Stegostoma tigrinum: one gene and its partners. The protein of the gene in region 2 purifies or fractionates together with the protein of the main gene of each other region. This does not show direct contact. Links are inferred from orthologs where the notes say so. Each region holds a gene or a part of one and is shown on either strand. Other genes may lie near its edges. The genes, in order: stip1, irak1 and E3 ubiquitin-protein ligase pellino homolog 2.

Region 1 (8,362 bases), on a different chromosome or scaffold from region 2:
CCTCCCCACCTCGATGGCAATTTTCTACTCCTATGGTTCTCTCATGTAGCAACATTATAAAACATTTTAATAACACAACAAAGTGATTATGAAACACTACCAACGAAACAAGTTGGTGAAACAATGTTACTTAAAGAAAATAAATTATACTGAAGGACCTTGAACATGAATAAGGCGATGCAGGCTAGCCTGGCAACTTATACACAATCATATGGCATGAAAACAGACCCTTCAATCCAACTAGTTCATGCTGATCGTGATCCCAACCAAACTATTCCCACCTGCCTGTGCTTGGCCCATATCCTTCTGAACATTTCTTATTCATGAACTTATCCAAATGTCTTAAACATTGTAACTGCACCTGCCACTCCCCTAAGAAGTTCATCCCACACACAAACCACACTGTATAAAAAGGTTGCTCCCATATCCTTTTGAGAATCTTTCTTCGTTCACCTTAAAAATAGGCCCCCCAGTCTTGAAACCCCCCACACTGGCGAAAGACTCTTGTCATTCACCTTATTTATACCCCCCAATTTTACAAACCTCTGTAAGATCATCTCTCAACCTCTTACACTCCTGTGAAAGAGGTCCGAGCCTATCCTTATATCCTGTTCTACATTACCCAAGATCCTACCATGAATGGTCCAAGTCCTGCCCTTGCTTATTTTATCAAAAGGCAAAAACCTTGCATTTACCCAAATTAAGTTCCATCTGTTACTCCTCAGCCCATTGCCACAATTGATCAAGATCTCTTCGTAATCTCAAGTAACCTTCCGCACTGTCCACTATAACCACCAATTTCAGTATTGTCTGCAAACTTATTAACTGGGCCTTCCATATTCTCATCTAAATCATTTATATGTAATGAACAAAAGCAGACCCAGAACCATCCTTGTGGAACCACCAGTAACAGGCCTCCAGTCCGAAAAACAACCCCCCCACTGCCACTCTGTCTCCCGTTGTCAAGCCCATCTTGAATCCTATGTGATCTAACTTTACTAAGTAGTCTACCATGTGGAACCTCGTCATAGGTTTTACTAAAGTCCAAATAAATAATGGTCTACTGCATTACCCTCAATCTGCTTGGTTACTTCCTCACAAAGCTCAATCACGTTTCAGAGACATGGTGTCCCGCACACAAATCCATGCTGACTATCTGTAATTCTTCCTGGCCTCTCTGAATGCATGTAAATCCTATCTTTTACAATCATCTCAGACAACTTACCCACCAATGTCAGACTCACGGGTTTATAGTTCCCAGGCTTCTCCTAACACCAAGGCATAACATTAGGCACCTCACTGGTAGTTACGGATGGTACAAATTTTTCCTCCCTAACTTTCCACAAGGTCCTTAGTTACACTAGATCAGGTCCTGGAGATTTATCTTCTGCTATATTTTCTAAAGACCTCCAGAGCTTCCTCTTCTGTAATGTGAGCTGCCTTCAAAACATCAATATTTATTTCCCCGAGTTCTCTCACCTCTATTTCTTTCTCCACAATAAAAACTGACAGAAGAATTTTAAATGGATATTTTCTATCTGCTGAGGCTCAATACAAAGACAACATATTTGATCCTTAAGGGGCCCTACATGCACTTTCTCCCTCTCTCTCTCCAGTTGCTCTCTTGCTCTTAATGTACTGATGGAATTTCTTTAGATTATCCTTAACATTACCTGCCAAGGCTCTCATTCCCTCTTTGCCTTCCTGAGCTCCCTCTTAAGAATGCCCCTACACTCTTTATGCTGTGCAAGAGATTCATTTGAATCCAGTTGTCCATATCTCATGATTCTTTATTCTTGACTAGAATCTTAATATCTTCATTCATTCATTGTTCTCTAATCCTACCAGCCTTACCCTATAATCAGAGGAACATAATGACTCCAAACTCCCGTTATCACATTTTTGAAAGCCTCCCACTTATCACATGTCCTTTTACCCATGAGCAGTCTACTTCAATCAACTTCTGAAAATTTGTGTCTCATATCATTAAAAATAAAGTTTTAATTGGAAAAAGGTTAACTTTCATAGAGGGCCTATCCTTTTCTAGAACTATTTTCAGTCCAATAGAATTATGATCACTTGTCCTAAAGTGTTCCCCTACTAACACTTCAGTCACTTGCCCTGTATTACTACTCAAGGAGGTCACATTTTGCTCCTTCTCTAGTCAGAACATTTATGTATCAATAAAAAAAATTCCTGAACACATTTAACAAATTATTCACATTCAAATCTTTAACACTCCCAGTCAGAGTTTGGAAAATTAAAATCACATATTAGAACCCTATTATTATGTAAACTGGAGAGTTCTCTACATATTTCTTCAACATCCCCCAACTACTTTGGGAGGGGGGGTAGTTTCATACAATCCCATCAACATGATCATTCCTTCCTTGTTTCTAATTTCTATCCATATGTTTTCACTGGACAATATTTCAGAAATATCTGCTCTAATTACTGCAATAACATTCTTCCTAACCAAAAACACCACTCCCCCCTCCTCGCCTGTCTCCCTTCTTCCCACAGCACCTGAAACCCAGAACACTGAGCTGCCAGCCCCGTCCTTCCCTCAGCCAAGTTTCTGTAATCACTATGACATTCCAATTCATGTTCCTCAACATGACAACAGCTTATCTGCCCTACAAGTAAGAACACTTGCATCGGAATAAATACAGTTCACTTCTTCAGAATTATCGTGTTCTCAGACTTGCTCTTGTTCTTCTAACTAACTTGTTCTTGCAAGGCTCGCATCCATCTTTCTATTAACGCTGTGACTTAGGATCTCTCATAGTCTCAACGAAGACGTTGGTCCCTTTCCAGTTCAGATGAAACCCATCCTTTTTGAACAGGTCTTTTCTGTCCCAAAAGAGATCCTAATGATCCAAGAAACTGAATTCCCAAACATTATAACATCTCTTTTGCAATTGATTTATCTCTTATATTCATTCCCTTATTCCAGCTGGACACCAACAGTAAACCAGAGATTACTACTTTTGAGGGTTTATTTTCTACCTAACCTCACGTTCACGTTGTAATGGAGCTCCACCCCAGTACAGCCAGTGCAATAATAAATCACAGGACCCATATATCGTCCTGCTAACGTCCTTAGTTTAGGACAGGGTTGTAGTGCACTTTTTTTCAGTGCTTTCTCAAGCGTTTATTTTGCGTTCCTTCCTCTCTCTTACCTTCGCCTGATCCATTACCAGTTCGATCAGCTCACCACGCGCCTTCTCGAACTTACCAGAACTCACGCCGGAAATCCCCGCCCTCACCTCCTACACGCTCCCATTGGCCGCAGCCCCCAACTGTCTCCCTCTCGATTGGTCCAATCGTCAGTCCATCTACGGGTTGCATCCAGCCCCCACAGTCCTCATTGGCCCAAATCTTCAGGTTCTTTCATTCTGATTAGTCTGCCTGGCAGTCCATCATCGGACGCAATCCCGCCCCCTCCTTTCACGCTCTTCTTATTAGTTAGGGTCTTCAAGTTCTTTTCTCTTCCGATTAGTCTAATTGCCCGTCTGTCTCCCGGAGGCCGAGCCACGTCCAAGGACGTTCCCTATGTTCTCATTCAATTGGCTCATTCAACAATCCATCAAAGGAAGCCTGCCCGCCTCTAACGCTTCGCACCCCGTTGGTCCAGCTTTCCGAGATATCGCTTTCCGATTGGCTGTCCTACCGTCAATTACAAAATGTTCCCCACTCATGCCGGTCGTACCGCCTGTTAAATGGTCAGGGTTGGGTAATGGCACTGTCAATCAGGACGGCATGGCCAATTGGTAGAACAGCTACGCCCTAGGCCCACCCACTCATGCCAATGGGCTGACCAGTTTTTAAAACGGCCAGAAGAACATTCTAGAGCACAGCAGTTGGAGGCAGTTCACTTTGAGGGTCTTTACAAACAATTTACCTCCAAGATTCAAATAGAATGTATTCTGCGAATATTGGGATGATGAGAAGCGTATGAGGTGGAACAGGCACTTGTGCGTTGCAAAATACCTATAATATTTAAATCAAAATGTTTGTATGGTATTTATATTGAAGAACAAAAATGGGAATAAATAACAGCAACATCCCACATACCTCCTAACTAATTTCTAAATCTGTCTCTGACAGCATATGCAAATTTTAAAATGTACATAGCTGATCAGAACTTTGACAGATTCACTGAGTTCCTACAGAGTGAAAGCAGGTCGTTCAGCCCATTGAGTCCACCCAGACCCAGCCGCTTCCCCTATCCCTGTAAACATGCGTTCCCCATGGCTAATCCACCTAGCTTGCAAATGGCTGGATACTTTAGTATGGCCAATCCACCAAACCTACACTACTTTGGACTGTGGGAAGAAACTGGAGTACACCTACACCAACATGGGGATTTTATGAAAACTCCACACAGACAGTTGCCCGAGGCTGGAACATGGAACATGGCATTGGGAGGCAGCAGTGCCAACCACTGAGGCCACCATGCCACTCAATTTGATTTGAAAACAATGGAATATGCAATACAAATCAACTTGTCTCTGCAGGTCATATCCAACTAATATGGTTGTACCATCGTAATATTCACACACGTATTCCACGTTGGATCTTAGGATCCCCGGCAGTTGAAGGCAAGGTTGAAAATGGTAGTATGTTGGGAACAGGGGGTGCTCAAGAGGATGGAATCGGAGAGAAGAATGAGAGAAGGGTGTCGGGGCTGGAGGAGATTATTAAATCTGCATCAAATCCACTGTTAGTTTCAATGAAGGGTCACTGGACCCGAATTGTTTAAATTTGCTTTCTCTCCACAGATGCTGCCAGATCTGCTGAATTTGTTCTGCAATTTCTGTTCTTGTTTCAGAATTTTGATCCTGTTGGGTTTAATTAAGCTCAAGCTCATTGTTCACCACGTATTAACATACCTTCCATTGTCTTTAAATCCTTCCTAAATCATATTTATGTGTCATTTTATTTTGAAACCATCTAGGTAATTCACTTCAACATGTTCTGTAGGAGTTCCACATGCTGACCACTCTGAGTATAGAAGTTTTCCTGATTTCCCATTTGGATTCCTTCACAGTTTTGAATTGTCTGACAAGTGTGGATATTTCATCCACTGCCTATTATTTGCTTCTCTTTTCTTCCTACCTAAATTTTAAAATTTTATCCCTAGAGTTTGAAACCCTGAAAATAATTCCTGTTTATTGACCAACTAACTCTTTAGGTGGTTCATGATAAAGTTCTTAAATCATCTTCTCGGCTCCTGTGAATCACCTGAAGGAATGTTTTACAATATTTAGTGATGCTCAACGAATGTAAAATTGTGATGCAACAGGTTCAAGTGGACTTTCATCTGAAAATGAAGAATGTGTAGGGTTATGGGAAGAACGCAGATGAATTACTGTAAGTAAGTTGTTCTTTTGGTATGCCAGCGCAGAAATGATGTGGCAAAATAATGTAACCATTCTGTGATACAGAAATAAGTGGAAGACAAGTTGTGAGAGGGATACCAACAGTTTACAGGGAAACATTGATAGGTTAGGTAAATGGGCAAAAACAGACAAATTAAGTATAATGTGGGAAAACACGAAGTTGTTTGTTTTGGAAGGCAGAACAAAAGAACAGTATTATTTAAAAGAGAAAAACTGCATAAACACAAATGGACTTGGGGTAACTCAGTGTGAAGCTGGAGGAGCACAGCAGGCCTAGCAGCATCAGAGGAGCAGGAAAGTTGACATTTCAGGCCAGGACCCTTCAAAAATGAGGGGCAGGGGAAGACAGCTCTGAAATAAACAGAGAGGAGGGGTAGGGCTGGGGAAGGTAGGTGGGATGGTGATAGGTGAATGCAGGTAGGCAGTGTTGGGGATTGGTCAGTGAGGTGGGAGGAGTGCATTGGTGGAGAGAACATGGACAAGTTGTGTCAGGTCAAGAAGGCAGGAATGAGAGAGGAGGTTGGTCATGAGTGTGGAAAGATTTTGAAATTGGTAAAGTCCATACTGAGAGCATTGGATTATAGGAATATGAGGTGCTGCTCCTCCAGTTTCTGGGCGGTGTCATTGTGACACTGGTGAAGGCCCAGGATGGACATGTCACCCAGGGATTGGGAGTGAGAGGGGGATTTGAAATGGTTCGTGACTGGAAGGTATTGTCTTTTGTTGCGAACAGAGCACAGGTGCTCTACAAAGCATCTATGAGCCTCCACTGGGTCTCACCGATGTAGAGGAGGCCATGCCTTCCAGTCACAAACCATTTCAACTTCCCCACCCACTCCGTGGGTGATATATCCATCCTGGGCCTCCTCAAGTATCACAATGACGTCTCAATTTTGAAAGACATGTCCTGATCTGAAATGCCAACTTTTCTGCTCCTCTGATGCTGCTTGGCCTGCTGCTCCTCCATCATCAGCAGTTCTTGCTATCTCTGAGGGACTTAAGGGACTTGTACATGAAACACAGAAAGCTAGCACACAGATGCAGCAGGTAATCAAGAAGACTAATGGAAGGTTGTCCCTTATTTCAAGGCGATTGGAGTATAAAAGTAGGGAAGTCTCACTGTAAGCGTATATGTTGCTAGGTAATCACATCTAGACTGCTGTGGGTAGTCTGGACCCTTATTTAAACTGGGACAGTTTGGAGAAGGTTCATTAAGGATGATCCCTGGTATGGAGGGATTGTCTTATGAGCAAAGCTAAATAAGTTGGGACTCTACTCACTGGAGTTTAGAAGAATGGGAGGTGATCTCATTGAAACGTATAGGATCCTTCAGGGGCTTGACAGTGTAAGTGTGGAGAGGATGATTCCCCTCAGGGAAGCGTCTAGGTCTAGAGGGCATACTTTCAGAATAACAGGCTGTCAAGCCTTCTTTTGCCACAGGTAGCTGTGAAGGGTATCAGAGATAATGGGAACTGCAGATGCTGGAGAATCCAAGATAATAAAATGTGAGGCTGGATGAACACAGCAGGCCAAGCAGCATCTCAGGAGCGCAAAAGCTGACGTTTCGGGCCTAGACCCTTCATCAGAGAGGGGGATAGGGAGAGGGAACTGGAATAAATAGGGAGAGAGGGGGGAGGCGGACCTAAGATGGAGAGTAAAGAAGATAGGTGGAGAAGGTGTGGGTGGGGAGGTAGGGAGGGGATAGGTCAGTCCAGGGAAGACGGACAGGTCAAGGAGGTGGGATGAGGTTAGTAGGTAGATGGGGGTGCGGCTTGGGGTGGGAGGAAGGGATGGGTGAGAGGAAGAACCGGTTAGGGAGGCAGAGACAGGTTGGACTGGTTTTGGGATGCAGTGGGTGGAGGGGAAGAGCTGGGCTGGTTGTGTGGTGCAGTGAGGGGAGGGGACGAACTGGGCTACCAGGGAACTACAAATCCCAAAAGGCAATGCTCCTTGAGGCCGCTCGCCCAAATTCTGCTTTCCGATTGGTTCAGGCGGGCGCAGGCTACAAATTCCAGAGTGACGCACCAGGTAGAACTCACAGCCCACACTCCCACCGATTGGGATAACAAGCGGGAAACTACACCTCCCAGAGGGCGACGCACCCGACTTCCGCCCCCTCCGCTGCCTAGTTCGCTTGAGAGGTCACGTGTGCCGGAAAAGCTTGCTTCACCTGGAGTCCCCCTTCACAAAATTAAACGAACACCCCCCTCCAAAAAAATACAAAAATCATTGCAACGACCTCGACAGCGCCATCAGACATCGAGTACAGAGAAGCGATAAAGGTGCTCGGGCGGAAACGAAGGGATGGAGAAACTGTTCGCCGTGCTGAGGCGAGGTCGTTTTCCTTGGGGCTTGGGGCCGTTTCGCGCGCCGCCCGTTTCGAACGTTTTTCGAATCCAACGGTCACAACAGTCGGCGGCCGGCGGCCTCGCGCCTGCGCGCTGGCTGCTGTGCGCCGGCCGCCGGCTCCGCAGCCCTCCCTCGACGGCGTCCGCCTGCCTCTCCGGGATGTCCCACGAGGACTTTAATCCTTCATGGTCCACCACCGACTGGAAAGTGGCGAAAGGTAAGTACCCAACCTCCCCGCACCACCTAGTCCATTGTAACCACCAAGTTTCCAAGTCAAAAACAGTATTGCGCCTCAATGAAGAGAGAGAGAGAGGTTGATCACCTCAGGAGGACAGCTTCAAGACTGCCAAATTTGAGACGGAATAACAATTTATGCAACGGGATTGGGGGAAAACATTATGATTGAGTTGATGAATGGCCAGTTAAGAACAGTGCACCAAGTTCAGAAGGGTCACTGGACTTGAAACATTGACACTTTCTCTCTCTCCCCACAGCCTGACCTGAAGTTTCTCCCACAATTTCTGTTTTTGCTTTGAGGGAGTATTGCCCTCCACAGATTCACTTTCTCAGGGAAAGGTGCAACTCCTGAACTTGCACTGGTTATATAT
Region 2 (7,539 bases):
GAGCCCAGAAAGACAAAGGGAAAAAGTTAGGCAGGATTATTGCCAGCAAGCCAGGGCGACAAAAAGCTAGACAGGTGATAAATCCTTGGCCAACAGCTCTGTGTCCGGCTTGCTGCAGTGCTCCAGCAAAGCTCAGCACGTGCTAGAAGAACAGCACCTCATTTTCTGTTCGGGGACCCTACAACATTCTGGACTCACTATGGAGTTCAGCAATTTTAGGGCTTGAGCTTCTCCTATCTCCTTGCCCATACTCCCACAAATGTCCGGCTATTACACACAACCCATAATCTATTTTTGGTCACTAATAGATGTTCCTTCTCCCAGGCTGATCATCACCCACTCTCGTCAGTTCAACTGTTCTTCTCTCTTAAGGTCCGATCCCCCACCTATCATTTACTCCTTGCCCCCTCCCCGCAACTCCTATCTTCTGCATTTAAAAAAAGACATTTTCCCAGCCACCAAGAGTTCTGATGAAGGGTCACCGGACCTGAAGCGTCAACTCTATTTTTTCTTTCACAGATGCTGCCAGATCTATTGAGCTTTTCTTGTGATTTATGGTTTCGCAAATGGGATGTGACCTTTATACACAGAGGACTGGAGTATAAGAATGCAGAAGTTTCACTACAGCTATATAAAACCATCTGAAGGGGGAAGGGTCACTGGGCATGAAACATTAACTCTCTCTCTCTACAGATGCTGCCAAACCAGCTGAGCTTTTAAAGCAATTTCTGAGTAGGTAAACTAAATTCCACTAAAGACAGATGTGCAGCACGGAAACAGACGTTTTGGTCCAACTTGTCTGTGCTGACTAGATTTCCCAATGTGACCTAGTCCCATTTGCCAGCATTTGGCCCATATCCCTCTAAACCCTTCCTACTCACGTACCCAATCAGATGGCTTTAGTAACTGTACCAGCCTCCACCACTTCCTCTGGTAGCTCTTTCCATATACTCCCCACACTCTGCAGAAGCAATTGCTCCTTAGGTCCCTTTTAAACTTTTCCCCTCACCTTAAAAATTTACACCAAGTTTTAGGCTCCCCTACCCTGGGGGAAAAGGCCTCAACAGTTCACCCTATCCATACCTCTCGTGATTTTATAAAACCTCTAAGGCTCCCTCCCCACCTCCCACCAAGAGTCCAATGACCCAGCCTCTCCCTAAAGCACAAACCCTCCAAAATCCTTGTAAATCTTTTCTGCACCCTTTCAAGTTTCACATCTTTCCTATAGCCAGGAGGCCAGAATTGATCACAGTATTCCAAAACTGGCCTCACCAGTAGTTGGAGATTTGAGAAGTGGGGGCATAGAATAAAACAGCCTTTATTGTCGCATTTACTCTGAGTATAGTGAAGAGTTCTCACATCACCAATTACAGCACCAACACTGATACTAATGTACCTAGGAACAGCTTCTTTAGTTTTAAGGTGGGAATTACAGCCTAATCTGTTCAGGATCAACGTTTGGAACTCTCTTTCAGTGGATTAGAAAAATAGGAACAAAAGGTGCAGGAGTAGGCCATTCAGCCCGTCAAGCCTGAACCACCACTCTAAGATCACGGCTGATCATGCAACTTCGGTATCCCATTCCCACCCTCTGCCCATACCCCCGATCCCTTTAGCCATGAGGGCCACATCCAGCTCCTTCCTGAACGTATCTAATTAACTGGCCCCAACAGCTTCCTGTGGGAGAGAATTCCACAGGTTCACAGCTCTCTGACTGAAGAAATTCTTCCTCATCTCAGTCCTGAACAGCTTACCCTCTCAGACTGTGACTCCTTGCTCTGGACTTACCCATCATCAGGAACATTCTTAACATTCTGTCCAGCCCCATCAGGGTTTTACATGTTTCTATGATATCCCCTCTCATTCTTCTAAATTCCAGCAAGTACAAGCCCAGCTAACCTAGTTTTTTTTGCCTCATCCGTCAGTCCTGCCACCCTGGGAATCAGTCTGGTGAACCTTTGCTGAACTCCCTCAATCTGGATGTGAGTTTGCTCGCTGAGCTGGAAGGTTTGTTTTCAGACATTTCATCACCATTCTAGGTAACATCATCAGTGAGCCTCCGGTGAAGCGCTGGTGTTATGTCCTGCTTTCTATTCAACCTGAGCTACAAATCTTCTCAAAACACGCAAACTCCCTCAATATCAAGAATGCCTTTCCTCAGACTAAGAGACCAAGACTCAAGTTGTGGTCTCACCAATGCCTGTATACCTGTAACAAGACATCCTTACTCTGATGATCAAATTCTCTGGTTATGAAAGTCAGCATGTCATTATCTTTCCTCACGGCCTGCTGCACCGCACGCCAACAGCACACCTTGTCCCAACCTGCCACAAATCAGACAATAATCTGCTTTTATGACCAAAGTGGATAGCCTCACTTTTATCCTCATTGTATTGCATTTGCCAAGTACCTACCCATTCAGCCAGAAACGGAATTAGACTCAGATCTTAATTGTCAAGTCTAGATCACGTTGCGGCTGTACAGGTCATTGGTGAGGCCACTTTTTGGAATACTGTGTTCAATTCTGGTCTCCCTGCTGTAGAAAGGATGTTGTGAAACTTGAAAGGTATTAGATAAGATTTACATAGATGTTGCCAGGGTTGGAGGGTTTGATCTATAGGGGGCAGGCTGAATAGGTTGGGGCTAATTTCCCAGAATGTTGGAGGCTGTGGGATGACCTTAAAGAGGCTTATAAAATCATGAGGGGCATAGGTAGGGTGACAAGTATAGGGGCATAGGTTTAAAAGGAGGGAGGGGAAAGAGTTAAAAGGGATCTAAGGAGCACCTTGTTCACACAAGAGGGTGGTGTGTGTATGGAATGAGCCACCAGAGGAAGTGTGGAGGCTGGTACAATTACAACATTTAAAAGGCATCAGAATAGGAAGGGTTTAAGAGGGTTATGGGCCGAATGCTGGCAAGTGGGGCTGGATTTATTTAGGATATCTGATAGGCATGGACAAGTGGGACAGTCTGTTCCCATGCTGTACATCTCTATGTAGGAATAAGAGTGAAAAGCGTAAGAAGTTATCACCCGGGGCACCGAGATAGATAAATCGTTGCTCAGCAAGTAAAATGGGCTGAAGGTAGGTGGGCGACCTAATTCCACTTGATCAGCCACTGGAATGGGGCAGCAGGGTTCGAGGGGTTGAATGGCTACCCTGGATCCTCAAATCTCGCGTTAACTGATCAAGAAGAAGGGTGCGCGCTCTCGCTGTCTCTCACCGAAGCGGTTCCAGTCGCCACTGCCCAGCGAGTCCATCACCGTGCAGAATTCGCACATGGTGGCGGCGGGCAGCTTGTAAGCGTACTCAGTGGTCCAGCTCCACTCGGACATCGTCCTGTCTTTGGTTCGTGCCGGTCTAGGCCGCAACCCGTTCCTATGGAAACCAAACAGAGCTCCTCACCCTCCAACGCCGAGACCCGCGACTGGCGTCGCCGCCACTCCTCGGGACCCGGGGCCCGATTGGACGCCTCCCATTGGCTGACCGCCCCGCCAATCGGACAGCGCCCAACGCGTCTATTCGTCCCCACACAGCGAAAAAAACATAAAATAACCCCACGTGTCCCTCGCTCCCATTGGTCGAAACTGCAGCCACGCAGAGAGGAATCACGAACTGGATTGGTCGGCCCAGGAGGAGCTCGAGAAGTTACCGCCCCCGTCACGGTGCCTGCCATTCGATTGGCCATCCGGCCACGTCGTCATAGGCATTCCTATTCCCCATTGACCAAACCCGCTGCCACTCAGAATGCAGCTGGAGTTGATTGGTCGGCCGGTGAGTTTGTGGGCTCAATGAAGTCCATGCCCCCTTACTTCCTTCTCCGCCCCTTCCCAATCACGAGCCGGCTCTGTCCCACCTCCACTCAAACGCGATTTCGGCAAACGGACACCGCCCACGGCCAGTTCGCGGTTTGATTGGTCCGACAGTCTGTCACTCTAATCCCACTTACGGCTTTGTGCCCGCACCTTTATCAGCGATTGGCTCAAGGACAGAGCGCGCTGTTGACGATTGGCTGGTGCCCCTTCAATCAGATAGTTCGCATGAACCTGACCCTTGACCCAAGAAAAATACCAATACCCGAAAGATGTTTAAAACTTTCATTATGTTATTATAATGAGATTGGGAGTCTTCATAAATACAAAATGACCGTCTTGAGCCCAATTGCAGAGCAGATCTCAGAACGATACATGACAAAAGAGACCATTCGGCCCATCAACTCTGTGCTGACCCTAAACTTTGTCCGCTCCCACTGTCAGCACTCGGTCCACAGCCTTGAAAGTAAAGACACTCGAAGTGCTCCGCCGCATTTTGAAGTTCAGCAGCGCAGTATTCCATCAGCACTGACCCTCTGACAGTGCCCGCTCCCTCAGCACTGACCCTCCGACAGTGCGTCGCTCCCTCAGCACTGACCCTCCAACAGTGCCCACTCCATCAGCACTGACCCTCTGACAGTGCCCGCTCCCTCAGCACTGACCCTCTGACAGTGCCCGCTCCCTCAGCACTGACCCTCTGACAGTGCCCGCTCCCTCAGCACTGACCCTCTGACAGTGCCCGCTCCCTCAGCACTGACCCTCTGACAGTGCCCGCTCCCTCAGCACTGACCCTCTGACAGTGCCCTCTCCCTCAGCACTGACCTTCCGACAGTGCCCGCTCCCTCAGCACTGACCCTCCAACAGTGCCCACTCCATCAACACTGACCCTCCGACAGTGCCCGCTCCCTCAGCACTGACCCTCCGACAGTGCCCGCTCCCTCAGCACTGACCCTCCGACAGTGCCCGCTCTCTCAGCACTGACCCTCCGACAGTGCCCGCTCCCTCAGCACTGACCCTCCGACAGTGCCCGCTCCATCAGCACTGACCCTCCGACAGTGCCCACTCCATCAGCGCTGACCCTCTGACAGTGCCCACTCCCTCAGCGCTGACCCTCTGACAGTGCCCACTCCATCAGCACTGACCCCTCCGACAGTGCCCACTCCATCAGCGCTGACCCTCTGACAGTGCCCACTCCCTCAGCACTGACCCTCCAACAGTGCAGCGCTCCCTCGGCACTGACCCTCCAACAGTGCCCACTCCATCAGCACTGACCCTCCGACAGTGCCCACTCCCTCAGCACTGACCCTCCGACAGTGACCGCTCCCTCAGCACTGACCCTCTGACAGTGACCACTCCCTCAGCACTGACCCTCCGACAGTGACCACTCCCTTAGCACTGACCCTCCGACAGTGCCCACTCCCTCAGCACTGACCCTCTGACAGTGACCGCTCCCTTAGCACTGACCCTCCGACAGTGCCCACTCCATCATCATTGACCCTCCGACAGTGCCCACTCCATCAGCACTGACCCTCCGACAGTGCCCACTCCATCAGCACTGACCCTCCGACAGTGCCCGCTCCCTCAGCACTGACCCTCCGACAGTGCGGAGCTCCATCAGCACTGACCGTCCGACAGTGGTTGCTCCCCCTGGTGCTGACCCTGCAACAGCAAGGCACTCCCTCCGAACTGACCCCCTGACAGCACCCACTCCATCAGTGCTGACCCTCCAATAGTACTGACGGGAGTGCCACGCAGTTGGAAGGTGTGTAAGGATACAGTGCCGCACTGTTAGAGGGTCAGCGCGGAAGGAGCGGGCACTGTCGGAGGGTCAGGGCTGAGGGAGCGCTGCACTGTCGGAGGGTCAGTACTGAGGGAGTGGGCAATGTCGGAGGGTCAGTGCTGAGGGAGTGGGCACTGTCGGAGGGTCAGTGCTGAGGGAGTGGGCACCGTCGGAGGGTCAGTACTGAGGGAGTGGGCACTGTCGGAGGGTCAGTGCTAAGGGAGCGGTCACTGTCAGAGGGTCAGTGCTGAGGGAGCGTCGCACTGTCAGAGGGTCAACGCCGAGGGAGTGGACACTGTCGCAGGGTCAGTACTGAGGGAGTGGGCACTGTCAGAGAGTCAGTGCCAAGGGAGCGGGCACTGTCAGAGGGTCAACGCCGAGGGAGTGGACACTGTCGGAGGGTCAGTACTGAGGGAGTGGGCACTGTCAGAGGGTCAGTGCTAAGGGAGCGCCGCACTGTCGGAGGGTCAGCGCCGAGAGAGTAAGCACTGTCAGAGGGTCAGCGCCAAGGGAGCAGTCACTGTCAGAGGGTCAGTGCTGAGGGAGCGTCGCACTGTCGGAGGGTCAGCGCTGAGAGCGCGGTCACTGTCGGAGGGTCAGTGCTGAGGGAGTGCCGCACTGTCGGAGGGTCAGCGCCAAGGGAGCGGTTACTGTCAGAGGGTCAGTGCTGAGGGAGCGCCTCACTGTCAGAGGGTCAGTGCCGAGAGAGTAAGCACTGTCAGAGGGTCAGCGCCAAGGGAGCGGGCACTGTTGGAGGGTCAGTGCTGAGGGAGCGCCACATTGTTGGAGGGTCAGTGCTGAGGGAGTGGGCACTGCAGGAGGGTCAGCGTTGAGGGAGCGCCGCACTGTCGGAGGGTCAGCGCTGAGGAAGCGCTGTACTGTCGGAGGGTCAGTGCTGAGAGAGCACCGCACTGTCGGAGGGTCAGTGCTGAGGGAGCGCTGCACTGTCGGAGGGTCAGTGCTGAGGGAGTGCCGCACTGTCGGAGGGTCAGTACATTTCTGAAGAAGGGTTCTGATCTGAAATGTCAACTTCCCTGCTCCTCTGATGCTGCCTGCCGTGCTGTGTTCCTCCAGCTTCACACTGTGTCATCTCTGACTCCAGCATCTTCAGTTCTTAACTGTCTCCACATTGAGTATCTTAGTCTTTGGGATGACAAGCAGTTGGGACCATCAGGGGGAGCTCTGTTTAAACAAACCTAAACCCTCATGAACATTAACTGAGAACCACAAAGCTCAGTTCCAAATAAGAGTACGACAGCCAGCAAATTGTACTGAACATATCTGAGGCACTTCGTTAGATCCCAGCTGGAGGAGCGTGTGCAGTTCCGAGCACCACTCTTCAGGAAGGACATGGACGCTTTGGAGAGAACGTAGCAGAGACTCACAAGGACAGTGAGGTATGAGAAATAGGTTGGAGAGTCTACGAGCTATTTTTGTCAGAAGGATCTGATTAAAACTGTGACGCATCTGACTGAAGGGGAGAAAATTTTCCCGTTTGTCGAAGGATCAGCCGAAACAAGAAAGCACAGTATTTGTGGTAGCGTGGTGACTCGTATTTAGCACTACTTGCCTCGGAGCACTCGGCACCTGCATCTGATTCCACTCTCCGGCAACGGTCAGTGTGGAGTTTGCACATTCTCCCTGTGTCTGCGGGGGTTCCAATTTCCTCCCATGTCCAAAGATGTGCAGGTTAGGGTGAACTGGCCATGCTAAACTGACCACAGTATCCAGGGATGTGTGGTTTAGGGTGGGTTGGGCATCCGAAGTTACCTCGTAGTGTCCAAGGATATGCAGACTAGGTACATTAGCCATGGGACATGCAGGTTTTGGGTATAGAGTGTTGGTGCGATTTGATAGGCCGAATAGCCTGCTCCTAAACTGAAGGGATTTTTTTTAAGGGTTTTCTCCCCTCCCTCTTCAAGCAGCATGGCAAAGGCAAGTTCAATCA
Region 3 (7,845 bases), on a different chromosome or scaffold from region 2:
TCGGAAGAAAATGGGCTTATTAGTGATAGGCAGCATGGTTTTGTGCAGGGAAGGTCATGTCTTACTAACTTGATAGAATTCTTTGAGGAAGTGACAAAGCTGATAGATGAGGGAAGGGCTGTAGATGTCATGGACTTCAGTAAGGCATTTGATAAGGTTCCCCATGGTAGGCTAATGGAAAAAGTGAAGTTGCATGGGGTCCAGGGTGTACTAGCTAGATGGATAGAGAACTGGCTGGGCAACAGGAGACAGGGAGTTGTAGTAGAAGGGAGTTTCTCAAAATGGAGAACTGTGACCAGTGGTGTTCCACAGGGATCCTTGTTGGGACCACTGTTGTTGTTGATATACATAAATGATCTGGAGGAAAGTAAAGATGGTCTGATTAGCAATTTTGCAGATGACACTAAGGTTGGTGGAGTAATAGGCAGTGAACGGGATTGTCAGCAAATGCAGCAAAATATAGATATAGATGGAGAGTTGGGCGGAGAAATGGCAGATGGAGTTCAATCTAAGCAAATGCTATGTGATGCATTTTGGAAGATCCAATTCAAGAGTGAACTATATGGTAAATGGAAAAGCCCTCGGGAAAACTGATGCACAGAAAGATCTGGGTGTTCAGGTCCATTGTACCCTGAAGGTGGCAATGCAGGTGGATAGAGTGGTCAAGAAGGCATATGGCATGCTTTCATTCATTGGACGGGGTATTGAGTACAAGAGTTGGCAGGTCATGTTGCAGTTTTATAGGACTTTGCTTCGGCCACATTTGAAATACTGAGTACAGTTCTGGTCGCCACATTACCAAAAGGATGTGGATGCTTAGGACAGGGTGCAGAGGAGATTCACCAAGATGTTGCCTGGTATGGAGGTCACTAGCTACGAAGAGAGTTTGATTAGATGAGGATTATTTACATTAGAAAGACGAAGGTTGACGGGGGACTTGATTGAGGTCTACAAAATCATGAGAGGTATAGACAGGGTGGATAGCAAGAAGCTTTTTTCCCCCCAGAGTAGGGGACTCAATTACTCGGGGTCATGATTTCAAGGTGAGAGGGGAAAAGTTTAAGGGAGGTATGCGTGGAAAGTTCTTTACACAGAGGGTGGTGGGTGCCTTGACACGTTGCCAGCAGAGGTGGTGGAGGCGGGCACGATAGTGTCATTTAAGATCTATCTAGACAGATACATGCATGGGCAGGGAGCAGAGAGATACAGATTCTTGGAAAATAGGCTCAGAGCCTGTCTCTGCCTCCCTACCCTGTTCTTCCTCTCACCCATCCCTTCCTCCCACCTCAAGCCACACCTCCATTTCCTACCTACTAACCTCCTTGACCTGTCCGTCTTCCCTGGACTGACTTTATCCCCTCCCTACCTCCCCACCTATACTCTCCTCTCCACCTATCTTATCCTCTCTCCATCTTCGGTCTGCCTCCCCCTCTCTCCCTATTTATTCCAGAACCCTCTCCCCATCCCACTCTCTGATGAAGGGTCTAGGCCCGAAACGTCAGCTTTTGTGCTCCTGAGATGCTGCTTGGCCTGCTGTGTTCATCCAGCTTCACACTTCATTATCTTGGAATATAGGCAACAGGTTTCGATAGAGGATCTGGATCGGCAAAGGCTTGGAGGGCCAAAGGGCCTGTTCCTGTGCTGTAATTTTCTTTGTTCTAAATCTTTTTCCCCTCTCCCTAAACCAACATCCTCTAGTTTTGGACTCCACCACCACGGGGAAAAGGCCTTGTCTATTTACCCTTTCCATGCCCCTATGACTTTATAAACCTCTATAAGGTTACCCCTCCACCTCTGATGCTCCAGGGAAAATAGCCCCAGAGTATTCAGCCTCTCCCTGTAGCTCAAAGCCTCCGACCCCGGCAAATTCTTTGTAAATCTTTTCTGAACACTTTCAAGTTTCACAGCATCCTTCCTACAGCAGGCAGACCAGAATTGCATGCAATATTCGAAAAGGGGCCTGACCAATGTCCTGCACAGCCGCAATATTACCTGCTAACTCCTATACTCAATGTACATACCAATAAAGGAAAGCATACCAAATGCCTTCCTCACTATCCTGTTCTACCTGCAACTCTACTTTCAAGGAACTACGAACCTGCTCTCCAAGGTCTCTTTGTTCAGCAACGGGACCTTACCATTAAGTGTATAAGACCCGCCCTGGCTTGCCTTTCCAAAATGCAGCACCTCACATTTATCTAAATTAAAGTGTGTATTTGCACACTGAACTAGTATTGGATCAAACTCTTATTATACAATATACGGTGGAATAACGTGAGAACACTGTCCATTAGACTCTTATAAAACCGCTGAAGGATACCAGGCAGAAGTTCCAGGAAAAACAGAAAAGAAATGCGTGCTCAAAGAAAATACAAGTAATAAACACGGAAATGCACAGCTTCCTTTCAAAACTGGGAAATACTGAGCATCTTGTCGGGAAACGTCACAGTAATCTAACCCATTGCAGCCGCCTGTACATGACCCGTAAGGATAAATCTATTTGTGAAACAGTGAAATCGACCATTTTGTCAAGAATTCATCTCAACCGCGTGTTATCTCTAGATACTCAATTCTTTGGCTTCAATTGATCACGCAAACTGAAACGGCGGATTTTATAAACAATAAACTGATAAACGTCGAAACTGACTGGATCATGTAACCAACCCTCGCTACAGTCGGATTAGTTGGCAAATCCGTAAGAAATAAAAATCGACATTGTTTCCAGTTATTATCATAGCAAACACACAGCTTGCGTGCTCAAAATGCATCTGTATTCTTACAACAAGCAGGGAAACATCGCGAAATGATAGCTCGTTCATTTAAACTAAGCTGTGCTACGCAAGCAGTGATCCGACACAGAACAAACAACGGAAGTAAAACAGATCGAGAGGGTTGAAATGCAAAGTTTTTTTTCCGCTCTCAAACATCTGATCCAGCTCTCTGCCCTGAAATGTTGTTGACAGAAACAGTACATACCGAAGGCCTTTCCGAGGAGCGGAGAACTCTGCCACACTGAGCGCAGCTGCGAAGCCGCTGGTTAACTTTTCGCCCGGAACCCGCTGGTGCTGTTATCGGCGAGCGGAAAGTTCACCGCTTCAGGCCAGAGACGATCAGACAAGCGGAGCAGCTTCGTCCGGTCGCCTCGAAACTAACATGTCAGCGACAAAGCAGGAAATCCTGCTGGGGGAAAGAACCCCTCAAGTCAACACAGGCGCGTCAAGCTGCATGTTCAGTACTGATTGGCCAGCCTGTGTCTGGTACTGAAACTAAAATTCAAAACAGTTTCATTTCTTTTTCATTGACAATTGAAGTATTTTGTGTCGGGTTGCCCACTTCAGAAACAGCTTGCTAACTGTTGGATATTAAAATGGGTTATCTACAACTGGGAATTGATACTGGTAATTGTGTCACAATCTTTTAAAAAAAAGACAGTTTTCAGCTTTTTTCTGGAATGTAATGCTGTATTCAATCTGTAATTGCAAAGTGGTCAGTGGTTCGGATCAAAAGAGAAATGAACGGGGAAAAAAACCCAGAGATAGTAGGAACTGCAGATGCTGGAGAATCTGAGATAACAGTGTAGAGCTGCATGAACACAGAGGGCCGAGCAGGAAGGCTGATGTTTCCGGTCTTGGACCCTTCTTCAGAAATAGGGGAGGAGAAGGGGGTTCTGAAATAAACAGGGAGAGAGAGGGAAGAGGATAGAAGATGGATGGAGGAGAAGATAGGTGCAGAAGAGACTGACAGATCAAAGAGGCGGGGATGGAGCCAGGAGAGATGAGTATAGGTGGGGAAGTAGGGAGGGGTCAGTCCCGGGAGGATGGACAGGTCAAGCGGGTCGGGATGAGGTTAATAGGTAGGAAATGGGGGTGTGGCTTGAGGTGGGAGGAGGGGATAGGTGAGAGGCAGGAAGGTTAGGGAGGCGGCGACGAGCTGGGCTGGTTTTGGGTTGCGGTAGCGGAAGGGGAGTTATTGAAGCTGGTGAAATCCACACTGATACCATTGGGCTGCAGGGTTCCCAAGCGGAATATAAGTTATTGTTCCTGCAATCTTCGGGTGACATCGTTATGGCACTGAAGGAGGCCCAGGATGGACATGTTGCCTGAGGAATGGGAGGGGGAGTTGAAATGGTTTGCGACTGGGAGGTGCAGTTGTTCAGTGCGAACACTGTGTACGTGTTCTGCAGAGCGTTCCCCAAGCCTCGGCTTAGTTTCCCCAATATAGAAGAGGCCGCAACAGGAACAGCGGATGCAGTGTACCACATTAGCAGATGTGCAAGTGAACCTGTGCTTGATGTGGAAAGTCTTCTTGGCGCCTGGGATGGGGGTGAGGGAGGAGGTGTAGGGGTAGTTGTAGCACTTCCTGCGGTTGCAGGGAAAAGTGCCGAGTATGGTGGGACTAGAAGGGAGATGGAGCGGACAAGTGAGTCGCGGAGGGAGTAGCCCATTTGGAAAGCAGATAAGAGTGGGAAGGGAAAAATGTCTTTGGTGGTGGGGTCGGATTGCAGATGGTGGAAGTGTCGGAGGATGATATGTTGCATCCAGAGGTTGATGGCATGATACATGAGGACGAGGGGGATTCTGTTTTGTTTGTTGTTGCAGGGAGGGGCTGTGAGGGATGAGTTGCGGGAAATGCAGGAGACACAGTTGAGGGCGTTCTTTACCACTGCGGGGGTGAAGTTGCAGTCCTTGAAAAATGAGGACATCTGAGATGGATAGGAGTGGAATGCCTCATCCTGGGAGCAGATGCAGTGGAGGCAAAGAAATTAGGAGTAGGGGGTGGCATTTTTGCAGGAAGGTGGGTGGGAGGAGGTGTATTCTAGATAGCTGTGAAAGAAATGATTATCTGCTTCTAGGTGGTTGCCAGAGATGGAGACAGAGAGGACCAGGAAGGTGAGGGATGTGCTGGAGATGGTCCAGGTGAACTTAAGGTTGGGTGGAAGGGGTTTGTGAAGTGGATGAACTGTTCGAGCTCCTCGTGGGAGCATGAGGCGGCGCTGATACAGTCATCAGTGTAACGGAGGAAGAGGTGGGGTTTAAGGCCAGTTTAGGTACATGAGAGGGATTGTTCCACGTAACCTACAAAGAGGCAGGCATAGCTTGGGCCCATGCGGGTACCCATGGTCACCCCCTTTGTCTGTAGGAAGTGGGAGGAATTGAAACAGAAGTTGTTGAGGGTGAAGACGAGTTTGGCTAGGCGGATGAGGGTGTCGGTGGAGGGGGAATGGTCAGGCCTGTTGGACAAGAAGTTGTTGGAGGGCTTTTAGGCCATCTGTATGGGGAATGCAGGTGTATAGGGACTGGACGTCCATGGTAAAGATGAGGTGTTGGGGACTGGGGAAATCGGAAGTTCTGGAGGATGTGGAGGGCGTGGTTGGTGTTATGGATGTAGGTAGGGAGTTCCCGGACCAAGGGGGAGAAAATGGTGTCGAGATAGGTGGAGATAAGTTTGGTGGGGCAGGAGCAGGCAGAGACAATGGGTCGACCAGGGCAATCGGGTTTGTGGATTTTGGGAAGGAGATAGAAGGGGACAGTGTGGGGATAGGGAACGATGAGGTTGGAGGCTGTGGCTTGGATGTCACCTGAGGTTTTGGATGGTTTGAGAGATGATGGTTTGGTAGTGGGGGGATGGGGTCCTGAGCAAGGGGTGGTAGGAGGAGGTGTTGAAGAATTGGCGCCTGGCCTCAGCAATATAGAGGTCAGTGCTCCATACTACAACTGTGCTTCCCTTGTCCATGGGTTTTGTGGTGAGGTTGGGATTGGAGTGGAGGGCTGCACGTTCTGCAGGGGAGAGGTTGGAGTGGGTGAGAGGGGTGGAGAGGTTGAGGCAATTGATGTCTCGATGGCAGTTGGAGATGAAGAGGTCAAGGGAGGGTAAGAGGCCTTGGGGTGGTGTCCAGGAGGAAGGGGTCCTATGTGTTTCTTGACCTCTCTCTCTCTCTCTCACACACACACGACCAATGGACCATTAGTGATTAATAACGTTCTTATTCATAGTACTTCACATTGGTTTTCCAAAAATTGATTTGAAATTGATAAAAACTTAATGTGAAGCTGCCTTTTAGCCACATCAGCCCCACCAAAGAGATTTGACTCTACAGTCAACAAAGTGTGAAGTTGGATGAACACAGCAGGCCAAGCAGCATCTTAGGAGCACAAAAGCTGACGTTTTGGGCCTAGACCCTTCCCATTATCTCTGACTATACAGTCAAACCATTTTTAACAGCAACAATTTGCAACTCGAGCTGAAAATCTCAAACCCGCTTAAAGATCTTACATCTATGATTCATCATGGGACCAATCCTTATTTTATGCAAAAGATAGCAGTTTAGAGGTTGAAAGAAGCTAATTGACTCATGTCTGGGCTCATGGAAGAAGGTTAATGCCCTGGAGGCAGATGGCCCTTAATCTTTATTAAAGAAAGAGTGAATGATAGAGTGGGTAAACCTTCTTCATTTCTAGACAACATGGAATAGCATGTTTTTGCTAATGGACTAATTGGTCACCATTGCTTTCCTTACTAGTAGATATATCATGAATATTTTCAATGTGTCACCTTAAATGAGAATGCAAGTTATGGGATTGGGCCTTTCATTCTAAAATTATTAGTGTTAGAATTAACAGGAGATCACTTTAATGAGCATACATGGAACACCTATAGCTAAGTAATCGTTGAAAACTGAAAATTCAAAACCTGACAGGGCCCAAAAATGGCCCTTGGATTACAAGCCCCGCTTAGCTGGTAAATATTGTTTATCATGTGGGCAGTATGCAACCCTTGGGCTATCTACTTATTTAAGCAGTTGTAACATACAGTCAATGTTACATGCATTGTTGAGTGAATGCATACCTGTGGAGAGTTTAACATCTGCTGTGGGGAAAGTGTTAGAAGCTGTTATTAAAGATGTTACAACAGGTCACTTAGATAAGTTCAAAGTAATCAGCAAGAGTCTGTATGGTTTTGCCAAAGGGAAATCATGTTTAGCTAATTTATTAGAGTTCTTTGAGGAAATAACTCCTGCTATAGATAAAGGAGAATCAGTGGATATAGTCTTATTTAGATTTACAGTAGGCATTTGATGAAGAGCTTGATAAAGGTTATTGCAGAAAATAAAAGCTCATGGTACAGAGAGTAACATCTTGTCTTGGATAGAAGATTGTCTGGCTAATAGGTAGTAAAGATTAGGAATTGATGGTTCATTTCAGACTGTTTGGATGTCACTAGTCGTGCACTACAGAGGTTGATGCTGGGACCTCGACTTTACAAATTATACAAATAATTTGGATAAAGTTAACCGAGATATGGCAGTCAAATTTGCTGATGACAAAGATAAGAAAGTGAGTTTTGAAGAGGACAGAAAGAAAGAATGTACAAAGGTTATAGATAGATTAAGTGAGCATGCAAAGTTCTGGAAAATAAAGTACAACACTGGAAAGTGTAGAATTGTTCATTTTGGCAGAAAGAATTTTTAAAAATCTAAGTGGTGAGAGGTCTGAAATGCAGAGAGAACCAAGTGTCCAAGTGCATGAATTGCAGAGGGTGAGTACAGGTAACCTTGCAGGTACAAAAAGTAATCAGGAAAGTTAATAGAATATTATTTTTCATTGCAAGAAGAATTACATGCAAGAGTAAGGAAGTTACGCTTCAGTTACATAGGGCATGGATGGTACCACATCTGGGGTTCTGTGTACAGTAATGGTCACCATTAATGTTGAAGGATGTTAATGCATTGGAAGTAGTTCAGAACAGGTTTGCTAGACTAATATCTGGAAGGGCAGATTGCCTTGAGGAAAGGCTAGACAGGCTAGGGTTCTGTAGTTTAAAGCATCAGAGGTGATTTCATTGAAA

Evidence for each region.
Region 1: the proteins of irak1 (region 2) and stip1 purify together in Homo sapiens (affinity purification with mass spectrometry; 3 studies listed by BioGRID and IntAct, with this or other methods). This does not show direct contact. The link is inferred for Stegostoma tigrinum from reciprocal best matches to the Homo sapiens genes IRAK1 and STIP1.
Region 3: the proteins of irak1 (region 2) and E3 ubiquitin-protein ligase pellino homolog 2 purify together in Homo sapiens (affinity purification with western blotting; 7 studies listed by BioGRID and IntAct, with this or other methods). This does not show direct contact. The link is inferred for Stegostoma tigrinum from reciprocal best matches to the Homo sapiens genes IRAK1 and PELI2.

Annotation. Positions count from the first base shown.
Region 1 is NC_081395.1:4,430,200-4,438,561, forward strand, and holds the start of stip1 (stress-induced-phosphoprotein 1), read right to left. Parts: upstream 3,255-8,362; 5' UTR 3,198-3,254; coding exon 3,183-3,197; intron 1-3,182. Other genes in the region: ADP-ribose glycohydrolase MACROD1-like, read left to right, coding at 7,710-7,971. UniProt on the Homo sapiens protein: Acts as a co-chaperone for HSP90AA1. Mediates the association of the molecular chaperones HSPA8/HSC70 and HSP90.
Region 2 is NC_081402.1:3,445,798-3,453,336, forward strand, and holds the start of irak1 (interleukin-1 receptor-associated kinase 1), read right to left. Parts: upstream 3,445-7,539; 5' UTR 3,335-3,444; coding exon 3,223-3,334; intron 1-3,222.
Region 3 is NC_081363.1:48,278,611-48,286,455, reverse strand, and holds the start of E3 ubiquitin-protein ligase pellino homolog 2, read right to left. Parts: upstream 3,221-7,845; 5' UTR 2,977-3,220; intron 1-2,976. UniProt on the Homo sapiens protein: E3 ubiquitin ligase catalyzing the covalent attachment of ubiquitin moieties onto substrate proteins. Involved in the TLR and IL-1 signaling pathways via interaction with the complex containing IRAK kinases and TRAF6.